Schizosaccharomyces pombe: one gene and its partners. Changing the gene in region 1 together with any one later gene gives a genetic interaction. Each region holds a gene or a part of one and is shown in the gene's direction. Other genes may lie near its edges.

Region 1 (3,822 bases):
CAAAGAATCAATTTCAATGCTGGCTTGAGCAGAAGAAGAAAGAGTACGCTTGGCACGCTCGCAAGCAGTACGTAGTCGACGAACAGCACGAGCGTTGCCAGTGATGTCCTTCTTGTTCTTACGCTTGAATTCTTGGGCAAAGTGGTTCACTAAGCGAGAGTCAAAATCTTCACCACCCAAGTGGGTATCACCAGCGGTGGCTTTAACTTCGAAAATACCCTCTTCAATAGTAAGAAGGGAGACATCAAAAGTACCACCACCAAGGTCGAAAATAAGGACATTGGTTTCATGCTGGTTGCTTCTGTCTAAACCATAAGCAATGGCGGCAGCTGTGGGCTCGTTAATGATACGAAGGACGTTTAGTCCAGCAATCAAACCGGCATCCTTCGTGGCCTGACGTTGGGAGTCATTGAAATAAGCGGGAACAGTAACAACGGCATCGGTGACTTTGCCACCCAAAAAGGCTTCTGCGCTTTCACGCATCTTCAATAAAACCATAGAGGAGATTTCCTCTGGTGTAAAGGTCTTGGTCTCACCCTTGAACTCTACCTGAATCAAAGGCTTACCATCCTTCTCGATGACCTTAAAAGGCCAATGTTTCATATCAGATTGGACTTCGGGATCGTTAAATCTGCGGCCAATCAATCGTTTGGCATCGAAAATAGTGTTGTGAGGATTCATAGCAACTTGATTTTTTGCAGCATCACCGATCAATCGTTCTGTGTCAGTGAATGCAACATAGGAGGGAGTCGTGCGATTTCCCTGGTCATTGGCAATAATTTCCACTCGATTATTCGAGAAATGACCGACGCACGAGTAAGTAGTACCCAAATCAATACCGATAGACTTGCTCATATTTGAAATGTATTAATAGTTCGTAAAGAAAATTCGTATCAATGAAAAACGGGGGAATGAAATTAAATTCGTAAACAAAATAAACGTGAATTAATAAGTATTATAACACAGGTACGATAGATTCGCACAAATGCGCTTTAGAAAATGCTTTTTTTAATTTAAGACGAAATAAACAATCGAAACGACAATTGCTGTTTGAAGAATTGTTGATATCCCTTTCGCCGTCCCCCAACCTCTATTTATGTACCTTTGTCCATTCTCGAACCTTCACCAACCCTAACCCTCGAGATGCTTCGAGAAACGGGGAGAACGAATTCTGACGAAGTCAAGGAATTACGTTACGATACTCAAAAAAAATCGAAACATTTCGAAGTTGCCGAAACATTCGCTTCCAAACCATCACGATCCAGCGAAAACGCTTGAGAATTTGCTGGACGTGTCCTTTTATTAATCCGTACTACCTTGTTAACTATCAATGGGTAAAACCAAGTTTTGATCGTCTCAAACTCGCTAACACCTTTTTTCCTCCACATTATTCGAATGTGGAGTAGAAAACGTCATCACTTGTCGAGCGATGGCTTCCCGCTTACATTAGAGTAAATTCTGTATGCAATTGCCGAATACAGTTACTTTCATTGTGATGACTTAATTAGAGCATACAGATGTTTTTCAAATTTGTCTTTCGATTGCACTAATTGATGGTGAAAAAACCGTTTTCAGAGTATGAGACGATTCTTGCAGCTTCTGCATCATTTGCAAATAAAGTTATAGTGGAATAAACGAGTATAAACGCACGATTACTCGAGCAGACTGAAATATAACGGTATAGCAAAAAAATGCGGTATATGAAATAATGCACAGTTGCGAAAATTTAGGTTACTGAAGCACTCAATAGTGCAATTACCTGTCCCAATAATCAATTCCTTAATTGTATAGTAACGATGAACAAATTGGTCTCGCATTTTGGATAAGAAAACTGGTAGAACATCGTAACGTCATTTAGAAAAAGGCACTACTTCATCTCTTTAAGTTATTTAAACGAGGCTAAATGATTGCAACCTTATCAGTAAATTGCAGATTGCTGTATTGGTCTGGTAAACGAAGGAAAGGTTGTTTAAAATAAGTAGCGCAAAAGTACCCTCCCTACAAAAAGCTTTGGTTATCATCAATCACCAATTTTCTATAATAGGGGAACTACCTTAAGCATTTCATTGCATGTATGTAGATGGCTCCTGATATCTCAAAAAAACGATTACCATGCAAAGTCCTCGTTTTTAATTTACCACCAACTTTGCCTGAACAAGTGTTTCTCCAATCCATCAACTCATTTTTACCACACGTGGAATGGCACCGATTCTCCAAAGGGAAAGCAACTGTTGGGTATTTATTTATTTCTTTAACCTTTCTTGCAAATAGTTACTAATATCGTGCCTTTGTAGTACTCGATCTGAATTGCTATCCTTTGCGTATTTGAAGTTCCAATCCGCCACGGCTGTTCAGGAATTTTTTCGCGTATACCAAGGACATACCTTCATAGATAAGAAGAGTAAGTTGTTACCATTCAAATTTTTCTTTTTTAACTCAAACATGCATTAGACAACACTTATAGGGCAATTGTCACAATTGCTCCATATCAAAAGATTCCTCCTTCTAAAGTAAAGGCAGATAGTTTAGAAGGCTCACTTGAACAAGATCCGAAGTTTCAAGAATTCAAGGTTCAGCGGGAGAGCTATTCGCAAACTGCGTCCAATGACGATGTTATTGAAAAATTACAAACCTCTACTCCATTACTACAATATCTTGCTGAGAAAAAAAATGCCGTTGTAGAAAAAGGAAAATCAAAACCATCTAAGAAATCTGTGAAGGCTAAGAAAAAGCTACGCTTGGCTGAAAAGCCGGCATCTAACAATTCAAAAGCTGGTAAAAGCTCACAAGAATCAAAAAAGTCTTCAAAGGCACCTGCTGAATCTGCAGCTGCTGTAATCAAAGAAGATAAAGTTTCTGATCGCAAAAAATCTAAAAAGAAGCCAAAAAAAACCCCCGTTTCTAATAGCACTGCTTCTCAAGCTTCCGAAAATGCCTCTGATAAAAAAACAAAAGAGAAGAAATCGTCTGGCAAACAAAAGATCGCTTCTAAAAAGAAAGATCAGCTAACAACTGATAATGTTTGAAAAAGTATTTATCCTTCCTTAGTGTGTAAATTAGAAATTCCTCCAGTCCTCATTCTTTATGTTTGCCTTATTGTCAACGATCACGATCAACTTAGCATCTTTAATTATACTTTTTAATCAATTGGTTGTTTTCCAAACTCATAAGATACACTGATGATAGATACATTTTTGCATTACTGTATTCTTTGGCCCGTAAATATAAATGCAACAAAAAATCTTTTAAAACACATACTCTACAAACCATAAAAAAGTACCTGTTTGCGATAGCACTACACAATTCCTACAACTATTTTTAATGTAATACCAATATATCGTCATTGTTCTCATGCTTATTCTGAAAGAATATTAATGAGATGGAAAGATAAGTAAAATGAATAATTGAAACTGTGCATGCAAATTTATAAAAGGAACCAGTCCTTTAATTAATAGGTTCGCCAAAGAGATAGTAAAATTGTAATAAAAGTAAAATGAATGAAATGAAAGAAGATGAGTAAAGAATCAATCTAAGGGAATAAATCGACAGTTTACCGAAACTATCAATTCTCAAATTATACATAAGCTAGCAGAATGAAGACAAAATGTCCAATTGAATAATCATTAACGGATCATCCGATTTCCACCAGGTCCCCGTCTATTATTACGGTTACCACGAACCGGAAGCTCGAAATCAGCGTTGCCTGAAAGCTGATCTAACGTATTTGAAACAGGGGGAACATTAGATAAATTTTGAGGGTCTCTCATCATACTGCGAGGACCATAACCCATGCCGGCATGGGCGGTATTCAGGCTGCCATGT
Region 2 (2,693 bases), 660 kb from region 1:
TATTCATCTTCCAAAAATCGAAAGAAAATTGTTCCAGTGGACGTTTGGGATGCCATGATTGACTCTTTATACGAAACAATAAATGTCGAGGAGACAAAAAAAGAAACTTACAAGTTTACTCGAAGCATAAAAACTGTGATTCCTAATAAATTAATATCTAACGAGTCAATTTCAATATTATCTATTCCTGAATCAGAAAAGACTATATACCAAAATTTTGATTTATATGTTTCAAAGTTTAACGTCGCCAGGAAAGAGTTATCCGAAAAAGAACTTTTCAATAATTCTTTTTCTTCTTCATTTAATACGTTGCTCGCTAGCTTGTTGGTTAAGCCAACCTTATGTCTGATTTCTTATTTAATGATTGCAAAAAAAATGGTTGTATTACAGGAGGCAAACCGCTTATTTCTTAAATCATTTGCCCATCCATTCCATTTGGAACGATACCATCTACATGCTGTAGCTGCAATGGGTGGTCTGTATCAAATTATGTCTTCTACTCATCTGAAAAATTTGTTTTTCTGTTCCAGGAAAGGAATCGCTCTGACAAAATTACATAGTCAGCAATACAATGAATCAACGTTGTTTCAATACTTGTCAGAATTTGTTCATCAGCGACAAAAGTCGCTTACACCGAAACAGAGAATCGCTATACAAGAACTTATTTTAAAATTTATGCAAAGAAATTTTGAAAATAGCCTTTACCACCAATCATTCAGTTCGCACTGGTTTATATCTCGACTATTGATCAACCCGATTCGAATGCTCTGTTGGCATATTACAGATGTGGGGAAAACGCTGGATCTCGGAGAAGCAGAGAAGTTACTAAAATATAATCACAAACAATGTCCGTACATAATTTACCCATCAAGCTTAAAGGCAGTGCAAAAGTTAGGTGGATTACAGTGTATCATTAGGAATGATAATTTGAGCCATATATTCAATTGTTCAAGGAAATATATCAGAGTACAAAGATATTCTGACGATGATTTATCAGAATCCAGTCTTCTACCGCGGTTGGTTAATTTACTTTTGTTTTTTGAAAATTCAATGGGGGAGGTTGCATGGAACAAACTTAGTCAAACGTTAATGGATATGTTTGAAAAGGAGACAAAGAGCAATTCTTTGAGTGATTATTAAAGCAAAGACATCAATTAATTATCTATCTTAATTAGATGCGCAATAAAAAAAAAAAAATAATATTTCCCTAAAGAAAGACAATCAAAAACGAACTGCTTAAAATAGAGGTTTAACTCCCTTGTTTAATAACCCATAAGTTAAGTGTACTAAGGTGCAATTACTAAATGTTCCAAGCAAACGTATGTTAAAGATGTAAACTAAATAGTTGGATCTGATTTGGTCAATAATTAATCGCATTTTCTTAATAGCTGAAAACTCGGATTTTAAAAGAAATTATTTTATTCTAATTTATTATAATGACAATAGCTGTTTTAATTTTACGAAGATTGCTATATCCTTAACCCCATATTGCTTATTCTGCTTACAGTATTGTTTTTAAATTTTAGTGAATAATAAAAGAAGAGAGTCGCTAAATAATTTAATATTTGATTATGTCTGTGTTATAATGCTTTAGCGTAATTTAGCAACAAAAACAGTCACCTGAAGTTGAGGTACTTTTGACATTTACACCTTTCCAGCACCATAGGAAAATTGTAATATCCGTTTTTTTTTTCACAATGCATTTGATGTATTATTTAAATGATGAGGGAAAGCGTGTTTATACTTTAAAAAAGGTATCTCCAGATGGAAGAGTCACAAAATCTTCGCATCCTGCTCGTTTCTCTCCTGACGATAAATATTCTCGACAACGTTATACTCTGAAAAAACGGTTTCATGTACTACTTACTCAATTGCGTAAGTATTTCTATTAAATTAATTGGTATAATGATAGTGTTCTAACGATTAGCTGCAAAACCTTACTGAGCAAATAAGAAAACGTCGAAAAATTTTCGCCTTTAGAAGGGAGCTACATAAGTATGGTTTTGGTTAAATAATCAATAGTTTTGATTTTTCTTTGGTTATGTGAGTAGTGTGCTCAATTGAAAAAAAAATATATTTCAACTTGAGTTGATTTTCCGATGTTTATTGCGAAGCATTATTTGTTTGGCATTTGCATTTATTATCTATTAAACTACAAAGAATAAATCCCTGGTGTATACATAAAATCTTTTAGTAAATGCTAAACAGTTACTGAGAATGTAAAATAACGATAAAAGTAGTAACATACTAGTGGTAATTCTGAATGAAAAACGAAACAACATTTTTTTAACCAATTTGTGAAAAGAAATAATAAAAAAATAAAACAGATGTAAAAAGCCAAGTATCTATTCAAACAGACTCTTTGAACATACAAAACTTAGGATAGTTCAAATTTCTCCATTTCAATTCTTAAAACGGAGATATGCCGCTCAAGCATAATCCTCAAGGAGATTTCAAGTCTAAAATGAGTCAAATATTTTGACATCCGTACCTTCAAAGATGCCTGGCCCTTCTCTTTTATGACTGTCTAAATCGCATGAGACTTGCCAGGCGAATAGACGAGCAAAATTTGCCAATTGTTGTCTCCATTCCTTTGTTCTATATTTCGGAATGTATGGTTGATTAGTTGCTGGGTATTTTTGAGTTTTTATCATAGCCATGATTTCTGAAGCTGGATGACCGGCTTTCTTCAT
Region 3 (5,705 bases), on another chromosome or scaffold:
CTTGGCCAAACCATAAGCCATGCAGCTACCAAGGATCTGACCCAAACCATTAAAAGCGACCCATACGGAAGTACGAAGTTGTTGTTCACTGCGCTTGTACCATTGAGCAGTGAGAAGAATGAAACCAGGACTGGCGGCAGATTCCATCATACCGAGAAGCACACGAAGAGCGATAAAGCCAGGATAGTTGGCAACTGAGGTCATGCAAAGCAAGAAACCCCAAATGACTAAGAAAACACACAAGGTCTTGGATAAAGGAAAGCGCTGAAGAAGAAGAGATGCAGGGAATTCGAAGACAAGGTAACCCAAGTAGAAAGCAGTACCTGACCAACTATACATTTGACCTTCCATCTTCAAGTCTTCTTTGAGACCCATGATAACGGCATAGGAATTTGAAGTTTTGTCCAAAAATTGGATGCAGTATACTAGACACATGACGGGGAAGATTGTGCAATCGATTTTGCGTACCAATCTACGCTCCGTTTCTGGATCGATCTCATCGTAGTCGACATCAAGGGCGTAATTGAAAGCAGCATCCACGCCTTTTGGCGAGAGATCGCCAACGTCGACATCGAGAATTTCCTTATTTTGGACACTCTCGGGATCTTTCAGCTTTTCGTCTATACTGATGCTTGACATTTTCTCGCTAGGCGCTTAAATATCTAAGCGGGATTATGGTAGTATGTCTAAAAGTAGTAGAGAAAGGAAAGGGAAAAAAGAAAAAAGAATTAAAATTAGAGGAGGGAAAAGAGAATGAAATTTAGTAAAAGCTATTTTCGCCAACACTTATAATGAGTGTAGTCGGGTTGTTTTTCTTATTGAGGATCGATATACTAATGAAATTGGCTTGTAGCATTGCAAGGTGATCCCTTCCTTTTAAACCAGGCAGACAAGCTCTTGACTTGGTTATCTGGCATCCACCCTCCGGTTGGTGTACCCGGTTTGTAATCTCGAGTATGTTCACTGCATCGCACATTTTCCTACATACCAAAAATTCTACTGTTGCACCTATCATTAAACATTGCAATACCTACCAACTCTACCTGGTTTTAGCACTAAATACCCGATATCGTGCTACCCCATTGTTCCTCCAAAGATCTTCTGAGCCCGGAGATATAGGAGAACTTGATAATGTTAGGTAAATTGGCAAAGTTGATGCGTCAGTCTCCTATCTATTCGTCAAGTTTCATCGTTTAAACAAACATCCAAGATCGGATATCAGGGGCGTAAAAACCGTAAATACTTGATAAAATAAATAAATGATGGAATGAAACGCTTCCTAAGCAGTCGAGCCAACATTGGGTCTTGCATTTCTAACTTTGCAGGAATTTCTTGATGAGAAATGGGGAAATCAAGACGCATATCATTCATACGTTGATTTTTCCTCATCCCAACGCTAACATCGAGCTCCCAACTCATTTTTTAAATTTTTCGTCCAAGCACTCATAGCGCAGCTTATCACCACTTACCACATATACTAGTGTAAAACAGTACTGATCGCTCGCCATGCTTAGATATGATTCCACCAAGATAGCAATAGATGTCTAAGTCGGCTATAGCCACCGGAAATATAATACACTAAGACACTGGGTATACCAAGAAGAAATGATAGTGTCATCCATCAAGGTCATTATTTCGGATTTAGAAAGGCTAGTGATATTTCTCTAAAAATTGCACAGTGATTGTGGAAATGCGGTGGAAGCCGTGGGGCTATCAGGATAGGATTGCTAGGCATGCCGCCATTTCCAAGATAATGGGCGAGTACGCAAACGTGCAAACCACTGTTAACGGATGGGCCCCGAGATCTCCGAGAGCGAGGAGAACTGGAGCTGGAGTTGCTGGAGTGAATTCCATACACAAAAATCGAGGGTTTTCTGTTTGGATAAATAGCTTAGAATAGTAAATGCTTGAGTTCCGCTGCATTCTCACTGCATGCATGCTAGGATGCAGCCCCATGAGGATAGGAGTCGTAGTGGCATGAGTAGAAGCGAAGCTATGGAGTTGGAGGATCAACTAGAGGAAGAAGAAAGGGGTGGTAATGTTGTTGTTGGCAGCAGCAGCGCGAACGCGAACGCGAGCACAGCAGAAACTGGGAAGAAGAGCGCTGGAGGCTCAAAACCGAAAAGAAGAAGAGGCGAGCGAATTCCACCTTCAAAAAGGATTCGAAAAGCTATTGCGTATGTAAATAAATATGCATCTGGTTGTTTTGGTCGAGTTGAAAGACGTTTAGTTTGTACGCGTTCGATCAGCCGCCATTCCAACCAAAAGTTGCTTGATTTGTTTGTTATTACTATATTTATTGTTTTCGTATTATTTAGTTGATCTATTGAATTATGTAGTTGTTTCTTTATTTCCTTACTTTACAATTTTTTTTTGGTTTTATTTTTTCTACTTTTTTTTTGTCTATTCATTCAAATGCTAATATTAGTTGTGTGGAATGCAAAAAGCATAAAATCAAATGCGTCGGTAACTTTCCCTGTGGCAGATGTCTTAAAAAAGGATTAGAATGCGTAATAGAAACTCCTCCTAGATTGCTTATGAATAAAGACGAAATTTCTCTCAATCTTCAGAGACTCAGTCATATGGAGACCATCCTTTCTAAACTCATGCCAAGTATGAGCTTGGATTTGCCCAGCTTGGAAGCAAAGATTGCGGAGCTTAGTGAAAGCCTTCAAACCTATCCTGATAAAGTACTTACCGACATCGAACTTGGAAGCTATCAACAAGTGACTTTGAATGAGACACAGACATATTACGAAGATGCCGGCTCTAACGAAAGCTTCGTCGCTCGCGTGCACGAGATCATTTGCCAGGGCAGGGAATTTCAGGTGCAGCATAAACTCACTAACGTATGTATTGATGGATTCATCTACTTCATTTCATACCCTTGCTATGTTGTGGGGCATCATCGATTTTACTGTTCTTTACTAACCCGTTTTTCTCAATAGAAAGGAAATAAAACATTTGAAGATATTTTAGATCCCGCCGATAATACTGTCGCCTCTTTAATCCATGCATTACCCCCAAAGGATATCACTTTTTATTTACTTATGACATTTTGGCAATTTTCTAGTGACAACAACCATTTTTATTATAATACCAAGCTGTTTGCTGCAAAAGTCCATCATCTTTTCGATGATCCAACTTCCTTTCAATCAAAAGATGGTGGTTTTGTGTGTATGCTTCTTCTGAGCATGGCCATGGGCAGTCTATTCTCCTACATTCGCCATCCAGAGTTCCTTTCTGATGAAAATCACGATCGTTGGACTTATCCTGGCTCTCAGTTTTACCAAAACGCCAAACTTCTTTTTCCCAAAGTCATCAGTGAATCGTCGTTGGAAACAGTACAGTCTTTCTTCCTAGCCGGTATGTATTTGTCTCCAACATTGGCACACGAAGTTGTATACATGTACTTTGGTATAGCTATGAGAGCTGCTGTTGCCAATGGTATGCACAAAAAGTCTGCGAATGCTCAATTTTCCGGAGATGTTGCTGAACTTCGTAAACGGCTTTTCTGGAGTGTATATTGCATGGAAAGGTAAGGCTGTTGAAAACTTCCCAAGATTCATGTCTGGGAAGAAGAAGAGAATTTTTTATTATTCCTCCTCATTATTTTATGCTAACGTTTAACTTTTAGAAAAATAGGTATTTCTCTGGGCAGGCCCGAGAGTCTTGTGCGTTCCGAAATTGATATTCATTTTCCAGAATACCGTGAAAGTTTAGATTCGCAAAACTTCATTGCCAGCTTCCGGACCTTCACCTTAGCTATTAAAATTTCCCTTCTAACTAATAAAGTCTATGACATGTGGTATTCCTCGCTACATGGAAAGGCGAACTTAAAAGCAGCTACCATTAAAGAGATTGTAAACGAAATTGAGGCATGGCGCCAACAACTGTCTCCTGATCTAGAAATACAAAACATTGGCCCAGATAGCAGGTCTTACAGAGGTATCGTTCATTTGCATCTAGCTTATCATATTGTTCGAATTGCCATGGGCCGACCGTTCTTACTACACCGGCTTCGTGAAAGAACGATGAATAGTAAGACGGATGAGGGAGCTAGGCTTCTTACTGATAAGTTAATTTCATACTGCTATTCATCCGCTTTGCACATTGTCGACCTCCTTGTACTACTAAGAATGCACAAATTTCTATCTGTCTATTCATTTATGGATTACCATTCATGTCATGCCGCCTCTTTTATCATTCTGGTGCATCTTCTAATCAACCCGTCTGAACAAACGATCGAACAACTGAATACGGCTATTGACATTTTGAATTTTGTTACCGACAGATTTCCACTTTTAAAAGGAAGTACGGATGTCATAACTAACTTGCGGGCATTTGCTGAACAAAGCGAGGTATATCAATCAAGGCTTAATGCTACCGAACCAGCTTATTCGACGCAGGTGCCTTTCTTCCCTAGAGATGCTGATTATCATAATCAAATCAACCTACAAAATCTTTGGAATGATGAAAATATCAATGCCTCACTAGAGGCACTTTTCAATGATGCGAAGGGTTTTGGCTTTTTACTCCCCGCTGATAACTTCATTTTCCCTAGTGACGATGGAGACATGTAATGATGGCTTTCTTTCGAAACTACTCAAACCTGAATTTTAAAAAGGTCGATATTTTAATTTACCCTTATTCTTTTCTCCTAGTTGGTCTACCTTACTGAACATATTTACTATTAAAGCAAATGAAACTGAAAGTTAACCCTTTTTCCCATGGTCACATTGCATCCTTTTTTTATATGATCAAATCATGCTGATTTGACCAAATCCTTTTCCAAAAAAAAAAAAACAAAAGATAAAAAAAATAGGCAGTTGCATTTTTTAATGAATACATAACGTGCATAACTGTTAACACAATTTTACTTCTAACTTTATTGTATCTTTCCTTTTGTCTTATCTAGATTAAACCCGTTTTAATGGTTCTCAATTAGAAGCAATTGTTTTAGCTTGGTTTCTAATTACCCTCTTAAAGGAATTAAAGGCTTCAATTGACGAGTGTTGAATTATTGAACAGAAAACTGTACATACACATATACAGTTGCGATTCGCTGAGTATGATAGAAATTTTCGTTATTTCATTTTATGGATATTAGCAATTCAATATTTTAAGTATCATAAACAAGCTGAATTGACAATCATTTTAACGTATAGTCCTTTTGACTTTCACAGTCTCATATAAGTTTCCTTGTGTAAACGATAACTATGGAAATACTGGATAGCGTCTGCAATCAAGAATGAAAAATAATAACTAGAAATGAATTCAACTAACTGATTAAAAAAAAGGAGCCTACAGCACCCCGGATTCCCATGTTGTCTCCAACCATAGTACTAACGAGGCCCTCAGACGCTTAACTGCAGTGATCGGACGGGAACTGGTGTTTTCACCTAGGTATGGCCGTAGACGTTCGATAATGTAATAAATGATTTTTATAGCGTTCATTAGGGGAATGGATAAAGGTTCTTTAAATTTATTTCAGCCAATATTCCCTTAAAGAGTTTCTAGTTGGACGATTTAACTAATTGATTGACTCAAAATTTAACAATTATTATAACGCTTTTGTATATTTCTCTTCAACTTTTCTACCAAAGAAAAGGCTTCTCTTGATGACTAAGTATTCGACTGTCAAGTTTTGTCAATTTAGTCTCAAATATTTCGGTCATGGAATCATGCTTCCTCAGAGCTTAAAA

The links.
Region 2: mutations in upf3 (region 1) and nop10 together harm fitness less than expected from each alone (positive genetic interaction), as found in Schizosaccharomyces pombe (one large-scale study listed by BioGRID).
Region 3: mutations in upf3 (region 1) and SPOM_SPCC417.09C together harm fitness less than expected from each alone (positive genetic interaction), as found in Schizosaccharomyces pombe (one large-scale study listed by BioGRID).

The regions. Positions count from the first base shown.
Region 1 is NC_003424.3:2,296,899-2,300,720, forward strand, and holds upf3 (protein upf3), read left to right. Parts: upstream 1-2,000; 5' UTR 2,001-2,080; coding exon 2,081-2,235; exon of another isoform or gene 2,236-2,294; coding exon 2,295-2,401; exon of another isoform or gene 2,402-2,451; coding exon 2,452-3,026; 3' UTR 3,027-3,170; downstream 3,171-3,822. Other genes in the region: heat shock protein Ssa1, read right to left, coding at 1-855; protein Mac1, read right to left, coding at 3,624-3,822. UniProt on the Schizosaccharomyces pombe protein: Involved in nonsense-mediated decay of mRNAs containing premature stop codons.
Region 2 is NC_003424.3:1,634,509-1,637,201, reverse strand, and holds nop10 (snoRNP complex protein), read left to right. Parts: upstream 1-1,697; coding exon 1,698-1,875; exon of another isoform or gene 1,876-1,927; coding exon 1,928-1,944; 3' UTR 1,945-2,091; downstream 2,092-2,693. Other genes in the region: SPOM_SPAP27G11.14C (uncharacterized protein), read left to right, coding at 1-1,140; SPOM_SPAP27G11.12 (uncharacterized protein), read right to left, coding at 2,460-2,693. UniProt on the Schizosaccharomyces pombe protein: Non-catalytic component of the H/ACA small nucleolar ribonucleoprotein (H/ACA snoRNP), which catalyzes pseudouridylation of rRNA and is required for ribosome biogenesis.
Region 3 is NC_003421.2:1,690,660-1,696,364, reverse strand, and holds SPOM_SPCC417.09C (transcription factor), read left to right. Parts: upstream 1-1,780; 5' UTR 1,781-1,932; coding exon 1,933-2,279; intron 2,280-2,428; coding exon 2,429-2,849; exon of another isoform or gene 2,850-2,948; coding exon 2,949-3,538; intron 3,539-3,637; coding exon 3,638-4,583; 3' UTR 4,584-5,146; downstream 5,147-5,705. Other genes in the region: dipeptide transmembrane transporter Dal51, read right to left, coding at 1-639.